Anolis sagrei: one gene and its partner. The protein of the gene in region 2 purifies or fractionates together with the protein of the main gene of each other region. This does not show direct contact. Links are inferred from orthologs where the notes say so. Each region holds a gene or a part of one and is shown on either strand. Other genes may lie near its edges.

Region 1 (7,172 bases), on a different chromosome or scaffold from region 2:
AAATTCCTTTTCAGCTCAAAGCCACAGGAACTCAAGCTGAAGTTCTTCTGAGACCCGGGGCGTGGCTGGTGCAAAAATCTCCAAGCAAGAAGGAAAGATGAGATCATGAGAGGCTGCCTGAAAAGGCACTGCAAGAGTCATCCATTTTAAAACATCCTTACTTCTCACAAATATTTTTAGTTGCTTCTTCCACACCCACAAACACCCTCCCTCCCCCCCCCCCCCCCCAAGCTGTCTCTGTTCTCGGGCTATGAACCACAGAACTCTTCAGCATTCATTAACAGGAAAAAAATATACAGTTCAAGATTAATTTTTCATCAATTTGCTTATTGTTGTTTTTAAAAAAATCTTGAACAACTTTGAAAAATACCAAAATTTCCATCCAAATCAAAAAAACCCAACATACCAAACACGACTCTTAAAAAAAGTTGTTTACCAGACAGAAAAATAAAATCTCCCTCTAGTGCATAATTTTGAACATTTAAATATGTTCCTTTATCACAGCATGTATCTCCATCTAAGATCAGTTAAACTTCTGTGTTAAGAAGCAAAAGAAACTTTTGTTTCCACGGCTACAATCCTTTCCCTTAACTTGAAAGTGGAAACAGAACAGATTCAGACTCAAGCAAAACTTTCACTTTGTATTTTTCCTTCTCTTCCCATTTTAAAATTAAATGATTGTTTGGAGGAAGAAATCGTGTCCCAAAAATGTATTCACTCTTAAACAGTTATTTGTAGTGTGTCGTCAAAGGCTTTCATGGCAGGAATCACTGGGTTGTTGTGAGTTTTCCTGGCTGAATGGCCATGTTCCAGAAGCATTCTCTCCTGACGTTTCCCCTACATCTATGGCAGGCATCCTCAGGGGTTGTGAGGTCTCACAACCCCCAAGGATGCCTGCCATAAATGCAGGTGAAACGTCAGGAGAGAATGCTTCTGGAACATGGCCATTCAGCCTGGAAAACTCACAACAACCCAGTTATTTGTAGCCATTGATGGTTATCTGTGAATACATTTAAATTGAAGAATAAATACTGTAATAATGATTCAATTAGTTACAAACCTCATCTTAAATTCTGATTTTATTTAAGGTGCTGAGATTGTGGTCCCTGCAGAGCAAAGAACTGCCTGCTTTATGTATACTTTCTCTTGTGACACTTCTCTACAGGTTGTATTTCTTATTGAACATACCCGTCAACAAATTATTTTGGCTTTCACATTTCCATGGATTTCGGAGTTTCTTTACTTGCATATACGTACTCCATGAGATACTTTGGAGATGGGATCCAAGTCCAAACACAAAATTAGTGTATGTTTCACATACACCTTACAGACATAGCCTGAAGCATGAAACAAAACGTGTGTGTATTGAGACATCAGAAAGCCAAGGTGCTGCTCTCTCATGTAGACAGTTTTGGAGGATTTTGGAATTCCAGACAAGGGATGCTCAACCTATATAGAAATTGTTCCTTCTGTTAAGGTTGTATACATTTTTGGTTCAATGCCATTGTTGGTGGAGTTCAGAATGCTGTTTGATTGTACATGAACTATAAATCCCAGCAACTTCAACTCCCAAATGACAAAATCAATCCCCCCTCCCAACCCCACCAGTATTCAAATTTGGGCTTATTGGGTATTTGTGCCAAATTTAGTCCAGTGAATGGAAATACATCCCTCATATCAGATATTTACATTACAGTTCACAACAGTAGCAAAAAGACAGTTACGAAGCAGCAACAAAAATGATTTTCTGGTTGGAGGGTTGCCACAACATGAGGAACTGGATTAAGGGGTCGTGGCATTAGGAAGGTTGAGAAACACTGCTTTAAAAATGTTATTATGATCTGGAGGGAGGGGAGAGAAGAGGGTCTACCTTGCAGTTAAACCCAGGCTCCTCCCTGTTTCTTGAGGTTGCTGTTGTTATAGAATGGGCTCACAGAGACCCAGGGTGCATCTACACTGGAGAATCAAGGCAGTTCGACACCACTTCAACTGCCATGGCTCAATGCTATGGAATCATGGGAGTTGCAGTTTCACAAGACGTTTAGCCTTTTCTGCCAAAGAGTGCTGGTGGCTCCCCAAACTACAACACCCAGAATCCCATAGGATTGAGCCAGGGCAGTTAAAAGTGGGATCCAACTGCATTAATTCTACATTGTAGATGTAGTGTCACAAGGCCTTTCGCTTCCTCTGCCAAGAGGGCTGGTGCCTCCTCAAACTGGGAACCACAGTACCCAATAGTATTGAGCCGGGGCAGGAAAAAGTGGGATCAAACTGCATTAATTCTACAATGCAGATGCAGTTTCGCAAGGCCTTTGGCTTCCTCTGCCCAAGAGGGCTGGTGCCCCCTCAAACTGGGAACCACAGTAACCCATAGTATTGTGCTGGGGCAGTTAAAAGTGGACCAAAGTGCATTAATTCTACAGTGCAGATGCACTCCCTAGGCACAACTCCCCGAGCCCAACAAGTCGCAATTCCCCCAACGCAAGCAAGGCTGGCTGCTGCTTTGAGCATGGATCCCCAGCCTCCTTCGGGTGGAAAAGGGGGGAAGGCAAGCAGGCGATCCTCCCCCTTTCTCCTTCCCTTGATGTGGAGGAAAAGACCCCGAAATCTACCGCTTTGTTTTGGCCTGGAAAGGGGGGGGGGAGGGAGGGAGACGAGGCAGGCAATCACAATGCTGCTGCTTCTTGTGATCGGCATCCATCTCCAAGCGAGAGGAAGGAGAGGCGACTCACCCAGAAGACGAAATTGAAGACGAAGAGGAGGTATTTGATGCACTTGGTACAGCCTTCGACTCCCATGGCTGCGGGCGGAGAGGGGCTTCGGCCTGGTGGGCTCCGAGGAGGAGGAGAAGGAGAAGAAGGAGGAGGAGGAGGAGGAGCAGAGGCGGCAGCGCCTTGCAACGAGACGGAGGGCGGGCGGGTAGGCTGGCTGCGGCGGCGGCTGCTGCTGCTTCTCCTTCGCGGGTCTTACAGAGCTCGCTCGCCCCGCTCGCCTCGCTTTTGGCCCGCGCTTTCCCCGCCCCTCGAGCCCCGCGCCCCCCTCCCACCGCCGCGCAGGCAGGCAAGCAGGCAGGCAGGCAGAAGCGCCTTGCCTCCTCCTACAGGCCGCCCAGACCCAGCCTCGATCCCAGTCTTGCTCCCCCCACCCCTCGCCCTTCCCTTACACCCGCACTGCCTCGGCTCCTATAAAGAAGCCGCAGTGGGTGCAAGGCCGGCACACTCTGAGCATCCTTTCCCCGGGGTTGCAAAGCCTCTGCGCTGCCACATTCATGCGCTTCCACACTGCCATGGCTGCCTGCTGTGGAATCGTGGGAGCTGTGGCGCAGCTAGTTAGTAGCCAGAGGCATTAAGTCACTACTGACCGAGTTGGAAGCCGGCCGGGGTCGGAGTGAGCTCCCGACCATCCATAGTCTAGCTTGCTGTTGACCTGTTGTTTCTTCATTCAGTCACTTCCGACTCTTTGTGAACTCATGGACCAGCCACGCCAGAGCTCCCTGTCGGCCGTCACCACCCCCAGCACTGGGGTATAAACAAATATAGGTAATAGTATGAAAGCTGGGTTTGGAAGCTCTGAGCCTTACGCTCTTTCCGCTTTGCCCCTTCAGGAGTGCTGTTTGCGCAACACAGAACGGAACACAGATATTATAGAATTATAAGAATTCTTTAATGGTAAAACCCTAACCCTTAACCCTAAACCTAAATCTAACCCCGAAGCCTAATTCTAACTCTAATCCTAACCCTAATCCTACCCCAAACCCTAAACCTTATCCTAAACCAGTGGTTCTCAACCTGGGGTCCCCGGATGTTTTTGGCCTACAACTCCCAGAAACCCCAACCAGTTTACCAGCTGTTGGGGTTTCTGGAAGTTGAAGACCAAAACATCTGGGGACCCAAGGTTGAGGACCACTGTCCGAAACTTTATCCTAACACTCCCCTTCTTTATATCCTTCCACCAAACTACGAAGTATATTCCTGCCCTCAGTATGGCGCTCTCCCTTTCCCTTATTCACAACCGCCGTTGCAGAATATGCGTAACGCTCGGAGCTTCCGGGCCCAGCTATCATACTATCACCCAGATATAAACACAATTTTGTTGTTTATTTGTTCAGTCGCTTCCAACTCTTCGTGACCCCATGGACCAACCCACACCAGAGCTACCTTTTGGCCGCCACCACCCCCAGCTCCTTCAGCTCCTTCAGAGTCAAGCCAGTCACTTCAAGGATACCATCCATCCATCTTACTCTTGGTCAGCCTCTCTTCCTGTTTCCTTCCATTTCCCCCAGCATCTTTGTCTTCTCCAAGCTTTCCTGTCGTCTCATGGTGTGGCCAAAGTACTTCATCTTGGCCTCTACTATCCTTCCCTCCAGTGAGCAGTCGGGCTTTATTTCCTGAAGTATGGACTGGTTGGATCTTCTCACGGTCCAAAGCACTCAGAATTTTCCTCCAGCACCACAGTTCAAAAGTGTCTATCTTCCCCCCCAACCCCAAATTTTGTACATACATCATCATCGTCATCATCTTTCCCGCCACCATCTCCCAGGGCGGCTTACAAAACACTCAAAGTGTGAAATGCAAAATACAACAAGTGCAAAACAAAACATACAAGTAGACAATAAACAATCAACATCATAAATTCACAGTACCCTCTGGTAAAAACAATAGTTGTTTATTTGTTCAGTCGCTTCTGACTCTTCATGACCTCATGGACCAGCCCACGCCAGAGCTCCCTGTTGGCCATCCATCTTGCCCTTGGTTGGTCCCTTTTCCCTCCATTTCCCCCAGCATCATTGTCTTCTCTAAGCTTTCCTGTCTTCTCATGATGTGGCCAAAGTACTTCATCTTGGCCTCTACTATCCTTCCCTCCAATGAGCAGTTGGGCTTTATTTCCTGAAGTATGGACTGGTTGGATCTTCTGGCGGTCCAAGGCACTCTCAGAATTTTCCTCCAGCACCACAGTTCAAACTCATCAATCTTCCATCGCTCAACCTTCCCTATGATGCAGCTCTCACATCCGTAGGTGACTACGGGGAATACCATTGCTTTGACTAATTGGATCTTCGTTGCCAGTGTGATGTCTCTACTCTTCACTATTTTATCAAGATTGGTCATTGCTTTCCTCCCAAGAAGTAAGTGTCTCCTCATTTCCTGGCTGCAGTCTGTGTCTGCAGTCATCTTTGCACCTAGAAATGCAGTCTGCTATTGACCTATGCAGCCCGAAAGACAGTTGCATCTGTCAAGTAGGAAATTTAGGGGAGGGGAGCCACCTGTGGCACAGTGGGTTAAACTGCTGAGCTGCTGAATTTGCTAACTGAAAAGTTGCAGGTTCAGATCCGGGGAGTGGCATGAGCTCCCCTGTTAGCCCCAACTTCTGGCAACCTAGCAGTTGGAAAATGTGAATGTGAGTAGATGAATAGGTACCGCATATGTGGGAAGGTAACAGCATTCCAATCATGCCGACCACATGACCTTGGAGGTGTCTACGGACAATGCCGGCTCTTCGGTTTAGAAATGGAGAGGAGCACCACACCCCAGAGTCGGACATGACTGAACTTAATGTCAGGGGAAAACTTTACCTTATGCGGGGAGACTAATTTTATTTATTTATTTATTTGTTTATTTGTAGTATTTGTATTCCGCCCTTCTCACCCCGCAGGGGACTCAGGGCGGATTACAATGCACAGATACATGGCAAACATTCAATGCCATTTAGACATTCAACATATATAGACAGACATAGAGGCCATTTAACATTCCAGGTTTTCCGGCTTCGTGAGAATATGCTTGGTTCCAGCCACAGGGGGAGCTGCCGCTTGTGACACCGGGTTCTTTGATGGACTATTTCCTCATCCTTACGCACACTGCTGGAAGGTTTTATGGCATTGTAAATTAGTTAAATTAGTTAGCTAAAGTGACAGATGCAACTGTCATTCAGGCTACATAGGTCAACAGCAAGCTAGACTATTAATGGTCGAGAGCTTACTCCAACCTGGGCTGACTTTGAACTCATGACCTCTCGGACACGACTGGACTTAATGTCAGGGGAAACCTTTTTACCCACAATGCATCCCAGGGTTGATCTGCCTCCTTCTTGATTCTCTCAAACTCACCAGTTGCTTCCGTCACATTGCTGCAATGGTCTCTTCCATTTCTGTATCAGTATGTTGTAAATCAGCATTTCTCAACTTGGGGGTTGTGAGGGGGTGTCAGAGGGGTTGTCAAAGACCACCAGAAAACACTGTATTTTCTGTTGGTCATTGGGGTTCTTTGTGGGAAGTTTGCCTCAATTCTATCATTGGTAGGGTTTAGAATGCACTTTGATTGTAAGTGACCTATAAATCCCAGCAACTAAAACTTACAAATAACAAAATCAATCCCCTCCCCCAACCCCACCAGTATTCAAATATTCGGGTATTTGTGCCAAATTTGGTCTAATAAATAAAAAATATCCTGCATATCAGATATTTACATGATGATTCATAACTAGTAAAATTACAGTTATGAAGTAGCAACGAAAATAATTTTATGGTTGGGGGTCACCGCAACATGAGGAACTGTATTAAGGGTTTGCGGCATTCGGAAGGTTGAGAACCACTCCTGTAAAGTAAGATCAGGCAGCGGGATTCTCCTTCTCCCTCCCTCTCACTATCCCAAGGCTTGTTCTTGTTTTGTGTTCTCTCTCTCTCTCTTTTGCTTTTTTTCCCCAATGCTGCATAAAAATAAAAATTAGTATAAAAAAATAAGGAGCAGCAGTAGAGCCGGTAGATGGAGGTATGAGGATGTGTGAAAGTGTGATTGTAGGACCATGAATTGGTGAATCAGCACAATCGCACTACCGAAGGGAGGTGTGATATCAAAGGTGCTCAACCTTGTATGTATCCACTTTCAATGTGGCGGAATAGTAGATTCATACAATAAAGTCCTTCCTTCCCTCCCCATGTTTCTCCCAGGGCCCTTCACACAGCCATATAACCCAGAATATCAAGGCAGAATAACCCACAATATCTGTTTTGAACTGGGTTATCTGACTGCACACTGCCATATATGCCAGTTCAAAGCTGAAAATGTGGGATTTTATTCAGCTGTGTGGAACTGGCTTCAGAAATCTCATGATCTGGCACTGTTTGGAAGCGCCCTTAGTACCATGATGTTATCGGGATATATTTAAATGTTGAT
Region 2 (7,060 bases):
ACAATGAGAATACTTACCAGTCCCGTTTGGGAGTGTGTGGTTTGTTCCCAAGGTGCCATTCCACTGACAAGTGAACCAAACATCATCTTGCCTGGAGATGTTGTAGAGCAACAGTCCCCACATGTCACCTAGTCTTGCGCCTGACTGAAGGTATTGAACATATGTGTACAACAGCAGGTCCCCAGACGGACTGAACCAAGTCAAATCCAGATAATCCGAGGTCAGTGCAGGATCAAAAGGGCAGGGCAGAATTACTGTATCAGACTCTGGGATATGAGACAAAAAAGTCAGATTTTCAGTGTAAATTTTCTCAAGGCCCTAAGTTACAATCCAGCTTGCCATGTCATGTCATCTTGCCCTCCAAATGCTGGACTGCAATTGGATTTCTCATCATTCAACATCATGACTAAAGCTGATGGGAGTTATGACACCATAACATCTGGAAGGCTGCAGTTTGTCTTGTCTTATCAGGAGAGTGAGGTTTGAATTTAGATACAAGGCTTGTGGATATGATGTTTGATGTTAAAATGTCCTTTAACCTTCCCCCAACCTCAGAGCCACGAGTGCAGTTGAATTGCAATCCCCATTTTCCCCGTCCACATGGTGGATAATCAAAAGTGATGGGAGTTGTTGTTCAATAATATCTGAGGAACCAAACTGGATAAAAAATTTAAAAAAACTTTGACAACATGTAAAACAAAAAGTTTAGTTGGTCCTCTGTATCCATGGATTCACTTTCCATGGATTCAACAGCCCTTTGAAGGCAACCACAAGGCTGATGTGGCTCTTGATGAAAATGGTTTGACACCCCTGGATTAGATGAAGAAATAATTCCTCCCTCACTACCTAGCTATTTTTTAAAAAGTTTGAGAAACTAGAAAGATTGTAAGTTAGCATGTTAAACTCTAGGGTGGGAGTTTCAAATCATCTGGTGCCAATCACCTCTGACAATGGGGGCAAAGAAACACTTTTAATTCCACGTCATTAAAAAATTTAATTAGAGTTTCAAGGTTCCTGATTCAACACAACCAATGGCCATGTTGGCTGGGGAATCTTGGGAGTCGTAGTCCAAAATTAACTTTTTTACAGGCTCTATGATGAGGATATTCTTGGTGTATGTGCCTTCAAGTTGCTTGTTAACTTATGGTGATCTCATGGCTTTTGTAAGGTTTTCTTAGGAAAGGAACACTCAAGAGTGATTTTGCCCGTTCTTTCCTCTATATCTGACCCAGAATTACAATGGAGAATACCTTTAAACCAATGATATTTGTATAAGGTGATTCCATCCTGGTATTTGTCTTTGCTGGCAAAGACAAAGACCTTTACCATTAGGTAAAGGTAAAGGTTTTCCCCAGACATTAAGTCCAGTTGTGTCTTACTCTGGGGGGTGGTGCTCATCTCCATTTCTAAGCCAAAAATCTGCCGTTGTCCATAGACATCTCCAAGGTCATGTGACCAGCATGACAGCATGGAGCACCATTACCTTCCTGCTGGAGCAGTACCTACTCACATTTGCATGTTTTTGAACTGTTAGGTTGGCATACTGCAACCGCCCCTAACTAACATTAGCTTCAATAATATTTTTTTTTTATCTCAGACCTTCTTGAAAAATGTCTATGATTGTTCCTACTAATTGTTTAGGTTAAAAAGATTACAAATGACACAGGTTTCTAGTCTCAAAGACATGCCAGAATAAAAGAGGAAAAATGGAGTAGGGAGTAAACACTAAGGAAATTCAGCTATTACAACTTTTCAACTATAAACAAAGCTTTCTGAGCAAGAAACCTGTTTGCTTGTAATCCCAGATACTTGGAAGCTGACCACAATAAGAGGGAACCATTCTGAACATGCTCAAAGGCACTCTGTTCCTGATTCTCTTGGGTATACATCCTTCTATAAGTCCCATGTGGAACATAGAGCTAGAAGGAGCAGGAAGGAGAAAAAAACCCAACAAACAATAACTTTGGCCAAAGGATCTTCAAGTCCCAGCACTGCTTTCAGTCCAATCTACTCACAGCACTGTTTGAGATAAGAGTTTATTCCAAGCATCAGTATTTTATAGAACTACAGAATTACACTGACAAACACAAAGTATGCATGAGGAATATCTAATGCATATGTGGTCATCCTGATCTGAGGTCTGTATGCCGAGCTCAGAATGTAGTCAGAGCTTGGTTGTTAATTAAGAGGATGTTCTCAGTATCTGACACTGTATATAACTATAACTTCTGGTCTTTGAGACCTGTTATTGGTGCTATGCAATTTTTTTTTTTTGCAGTTACAGCATTTCGAAGCCCCCAATGGCATAGTGGGTTAAACCGCTGAGCTGCTGACCTTGCTAACCAAAAGGTCGCAGGTTCGAATCCGGGGAGTGGCATGAGCTCCCGCTGTTAGCCCCAGCTTCTGCCATCCTAGCAGTTTGAAAACATGCAAATATGAGGAGATCAATAGGTACTGCTCCTGCAGGAAGGTAATGGTGCTCCATGCAGTCATGGCCTTGGAGGTGTCTACAGACAATGCTGGCTCTTCGACTTAGAAATGGAGATGAGCACCAACCCCCAAAGTCTGACACGACTGGACTTAATGTCAGGGGAAAACCTTTAGCTTTAGCTTTACCTTACAGCATTTCTAGCATAGCAGAAATGACAGGGCCCAATAAACAATGCAATTCATGAGGAAACGTCAGCCTTTATCAAAATGGAGTTCATCAGGCTCGCTAAAACAGAGCAGCATACTAGTGAATCTTTCATTATACAGCAACACGTCCACTTTACTGATACTGCCTCCCCCTTCATAGCAGAAACCCATGTCATTCCACCATCTCCATCGACCCACCTGTTGCTTCAACAACTTGCATTGGCATCTCCTGCTCATTGCTGGCTGTTCCGCCACAACCCAGCCAGAGCAGAAGCAGGTAAGGCAGAACAGATACCATGGCCTCCTTTCAAGCAGCTCCACTGCATGCCAGCCGGGCACAGTGAGGCCCAGGCAGCCTCAGAAGGGCGGTCTCTCAACTACTTGCTGTTTTAGCAGAAGAAGAGCCTCTTTGGCGCGTGACCATACTTCCCATCATGTTCCCTTGAGGCCTGAACAGAAGACCCAAGGGAGGAAGGGTAGGGGAACTGCAGCTAAACTGATGTAAGCTCAAAGAAAATGAGAACTGAACTTCTTACTTTTCTTTTTTCTTTTGCAAGATTGTCCCTGCTAAGTTTATTTCTTATATACTCATGTATAAGTCTAGTAATTTTAGTCGTGAAATCAACTCAAAAAACTGGGCCAATTTATCCATGAGTCAATACAAGTACTGTATCTTAACTCTTATAATAAAAAAGAACTATTTCTGAGTAGAGTGGTGAAAGGCAAGAGTTTATCTCATCCCAAGAGACCTAAAAGAAGGACCAATTCCTCTACTCTCTTTGTCATGGTGTCTTTCTGGCCCTTTTGGATGCCAGAATAGAGCAGGCTCAGCTGGCATCTTGAGGCATCATTGGTGTTTTCCCCTCTCCACCAAATGTCCTCGACTTATACATAACTATGCATGGAAATGTCCTTCTGCGATTTATATACCATCATTTCTTCATTTGACACAGGTTACAGTATAACCAAATCGCAAGTAAAAGTTACAAAACATTACATTTGAACAGGAAGAGCAGGTGAAGCTTCCTTCTTTAGAAGCTCTTACGGAAGCCTGGGCCTTTTCTTGTTTGGTTTGTGTCACAGACCGCATTCCCTGAAGCAGTTCCAGACAAGACCTTAAACCTGGGAGCAATCATATTTCTTAAACATGATTGCGCCTAGGTTGAAGTCCAGAACCTCCCCACAACATCTGTGCTTTTCTGGGTGGGTGTCCAGATGCCTTGCCGGACTCTCTAGCAGGGCACCAAGTCACTAACAACCCCCCACCCCCACCCAAAAGCCTTTAAAATGGAAAATAACTTACTCAGCCGCCATTCCCGATTCTCCGGGGATCTCCTGGTGCATAGAAATGACATGCCAGGAGAAAGGGAGGAAGGGCAGAAGTAATTTTTCTCCTTCCCACCTCTACTGGCTCATCATTTCTACACCCCAGGAGAGCTCCGGAGAAGGGGGAATGGCAGCCGGGTAAGTTATTTTTTGTTTAAAAGGCTTTCCTGTGGGGGGGGGGGGGGATATCTCAGGTTTCTCGGGCTGCAGGAGACAGATGTGTAAATTCCTATATTCTCAGGATGTTCTGCACCTGCAGAGAAAAAATAAGAATAAAGAACACATCATGATATTTTAAATCATAATGGATTTAACTCATTTAACTGTCTGGTACACATGTTTATATATATTATTATTAAATGGACACTGGAGGTCATGCGGTGCTATCCCCAGTCCCAGCTACACAGCGCCCATAGCTGCAAAGACCCGAGTCTTCTGAAAGACCCGGGTCTTTCCGGCTGACAAATTATTTCGGAACAAAGCAGGGTTTTCCTGCTTTGTTCCAAAAGCATTAGTTTTTCCCAGAGTCGTAGTTTGGATGCTCCAGGCAAAAACGCAGGAGGGCATGCACTATAGGTGCTATCTGGATGGTCTTTCAAAAACCCCATGATTTATTTATTTATCGTGTCAGGGGCAACCAGATAATTGTATTACATTTCTAACAGAACAAACCAAACAAACAGACAAAACACAAAATTAGCAAGCTTGGTAGTTGATTAAATGTCGTTTGACCAGTATCTGGCCACTTTGAGTGCCTCTGGTGTTGCCGCAAGAAGGTCCTCCATTGTGCATGTAGCAGGGCTCAGATCGCATTGCAGCAGGTGGTCTGTAGTTTGCTCTTCTCCACACTTGCATGTCATGGATTCCACTTTGTAGCCCCGTTTCTTAAGATTGGCTCTGCATCTTGTGGTGCCAGAGTGCAGTCTGTTCAGTGCCTTCCACGTCACCCAGTTTTCTGTGTGCCCAGAGGAGTCTCTCATTTGGTATCAGCCATTGGTTGAGGTTCTGGGTTGGAGCCTGCCACTTTTGGACTCTCACTTGCTGAGGTGTTCCAGCGAGTGTCTTTGTAGATCTTAGAAAACTATTTCTTGATTTATTTCGTTGACGTGCTGGCTGATACCCAAACAAGGGATGAGCTGGAGATGTCACTGCCTTGGTCCTTTCACAACAACAACCCCATGATAATGGGGAAGTAGCAGCCCCAAATAAATTTTCTCAGGCAGTTCATGTCTTTGAGAGTGCATTGATGGGTTTATTTTGCAGACCTGCAACTACAGGATGCCATTTTGTGTTTCCTGTGAGCTCTTGCCATGGGCAGCGACTTTTACAAGAAACATTGGGATATTGTCTTAATTCTACCCGGGAGATGCACCCGAAGGCATTCTAGGAGCTGTAGCCAGGAAACAGGATGAAGAAACTTTTCCAATCTCTGTAAATAGGAGATACTGGGCTAGAGGACCATTACATTATGCAGGACCATTACATTATAACCTGCTTCTCTTTTATCTTGCCCGAGTTGTTAATTAGTTCTTAATTAGTTTTTCTTTTAATCATTACATGTAGCCCGGCCATTGTCACTGTGTTTGTGCTTACTGTAATTTTATATTGTTATGTATTCACATGCTTTATGTAAATAAGATTTTGTTGTTTATTGTTCACATTTGTGTTTTCGGTTTTACTCTGTTGTATTTGTTGTTTGAGCCTGGCCTCATGTAAGCCGCTCCGAGTTTATTATTTACTATTATTATATTATCACAAGCATATCTGTTGTTTATTTATTTATGATATTTCTATCCTGCCTTTCTCAAACCTGAAGGTGACTTAAGGCGGTTTACAATCAGGCAGCCATTTGATACCTTAACAATAAACACTTAAAATAACATTTCAAACAGAGTTATAAAATACAAACAATAAAGCTTTAAAAACCTATAAAACCAATGCCTTCACTGTTAGTCTCTTTGTCCAAAATCATCATCAAATGAACAAATGACCCTGGGGATTTGCAACTACCGAACATACTTTTACAGCATGGAACAAATGGATATGTGTGCACCGCTCTAATAGTCAGCAGATGAGATTGAAAGTAGACATTGAATGGAAAAAGTTGAGGCTTGGCTTGATTGTTCCACACTTCTGGATAATAAGTAGCTGCATACTTATGCATCCATTTGTTAAAGTGGAGCGTAACATGTATAGGCAAGTGGAGAAGGAAGCTGAACTCTCTCATCAGCTGAGTTGAATCTTCCCGTCTCATATTCTCTGTTGTTTTTGTCTCTGCAGGAATGATTTCCAATCACAAGTTCCCGCTAGGGGAAAAACCATCTGGGAAGCGAAAGCGAAAACCAAAAAGGGTGTGTTTGAAGGGGAAATCTAGGTATGGGAAGGAGCCAGTTTCCTCATCCTATGTAGTCATACTAAATCTTAAAGCTCTCTTTTGTTGGTTCAAGATGTTCTTTTCTATAACATTCCTCTTCTCTGCAAATTATTTGACATGCCAATCTGCACTGGACATAGCCTAAAATTGTAGCATGATTTCTATCACAGTTATGTAATAAACAAGGTTGCTGGGGGGAAAGAGAGAGAGAGAAATCACCAGGGCCGAGAGCCCATTTTATGCTGTTCTTGTTTAACCATTAGCCTGACACAAAGGAGGATGACCTCTTATTTAAGCAACTATCTGGAACTAGAACCATCATGTGACTTACAGAAATGAAATATTTCCTGATTCCTAACCTTTGCCAAAAAAAACCAAAAAAAAAAAAAAAAACCCTGAAGCTGCCTTTTCCGGTTCGAACATTTAAATACATAACACTCAGCAACTAAATTAGGAAGTAATTCCTCTGCTGCCAGAAGCAAAATAGTGAGGCCCCATCTACACTGTCAGATAACATCCAGATTATATGATTTGAGCTGGACTATATTAGTCTACAATGCCATATGTTGTTGTTTATTCATTCAGTTGCTTCCGACTCTTCGTGACCTCATGGACCAGCCCATGCCAGAGATCCCCATCAGCCATCACCACCCCCAGCTCCTTCAGAGTCAAGCCAGTCACTTCAAGGTTGCCATCCATCCATCTTTCCCTTGTTCAGCTCCC

What was found.
Region 1: the proteins of CD19 (region 2) and CD81 purify together in Homo sapiens (affinity purification with western blotting, with the first as the bait; 3 studies listed by BioGRID). This does not show direct contact. The link is inferred for Anolis sagrei from reciprocal best matches to the Homo sapiens genes CD19 and CD81.

The regions. Positions count from the first base shown.
Region 1 is NC_090021.1:245,345,280-245,352,451, reverse strand, and holds the start of CD81 (CD81 antigen), read right to left. Parts: upstream 3,004-7,172; 5' UTR 2,799-3,003; coding exon 2,733-2,798; intron 1-2,732. UniProt on the Homo sapiens protein: Structural component of specialized membrane microdomains known as tetraspanin-enriched microdomains (TERMs), which act as platforms for receptor clustering and signaling.
Region 2 is NC_090026.1:22,848,750-22,855,809, reverse strand, and holds the start of CD19 (B-lymphocyte antigen CD19), read right to left. Parts: upstream 3,079-7,060; 5' UTR 2,936-3,078; coding exon 2,836-2,935; intron 267-2,835; coding exon 18-266; intron 1-17. UniProt on the Homo sapiens protein: Functions as a coreceptor for the B-cell antigen receptor complex (BCR) on B-lymphocytes. Decreases the threshold for activation of downstream signaling pathways and for triggering B-cell responses to antigens.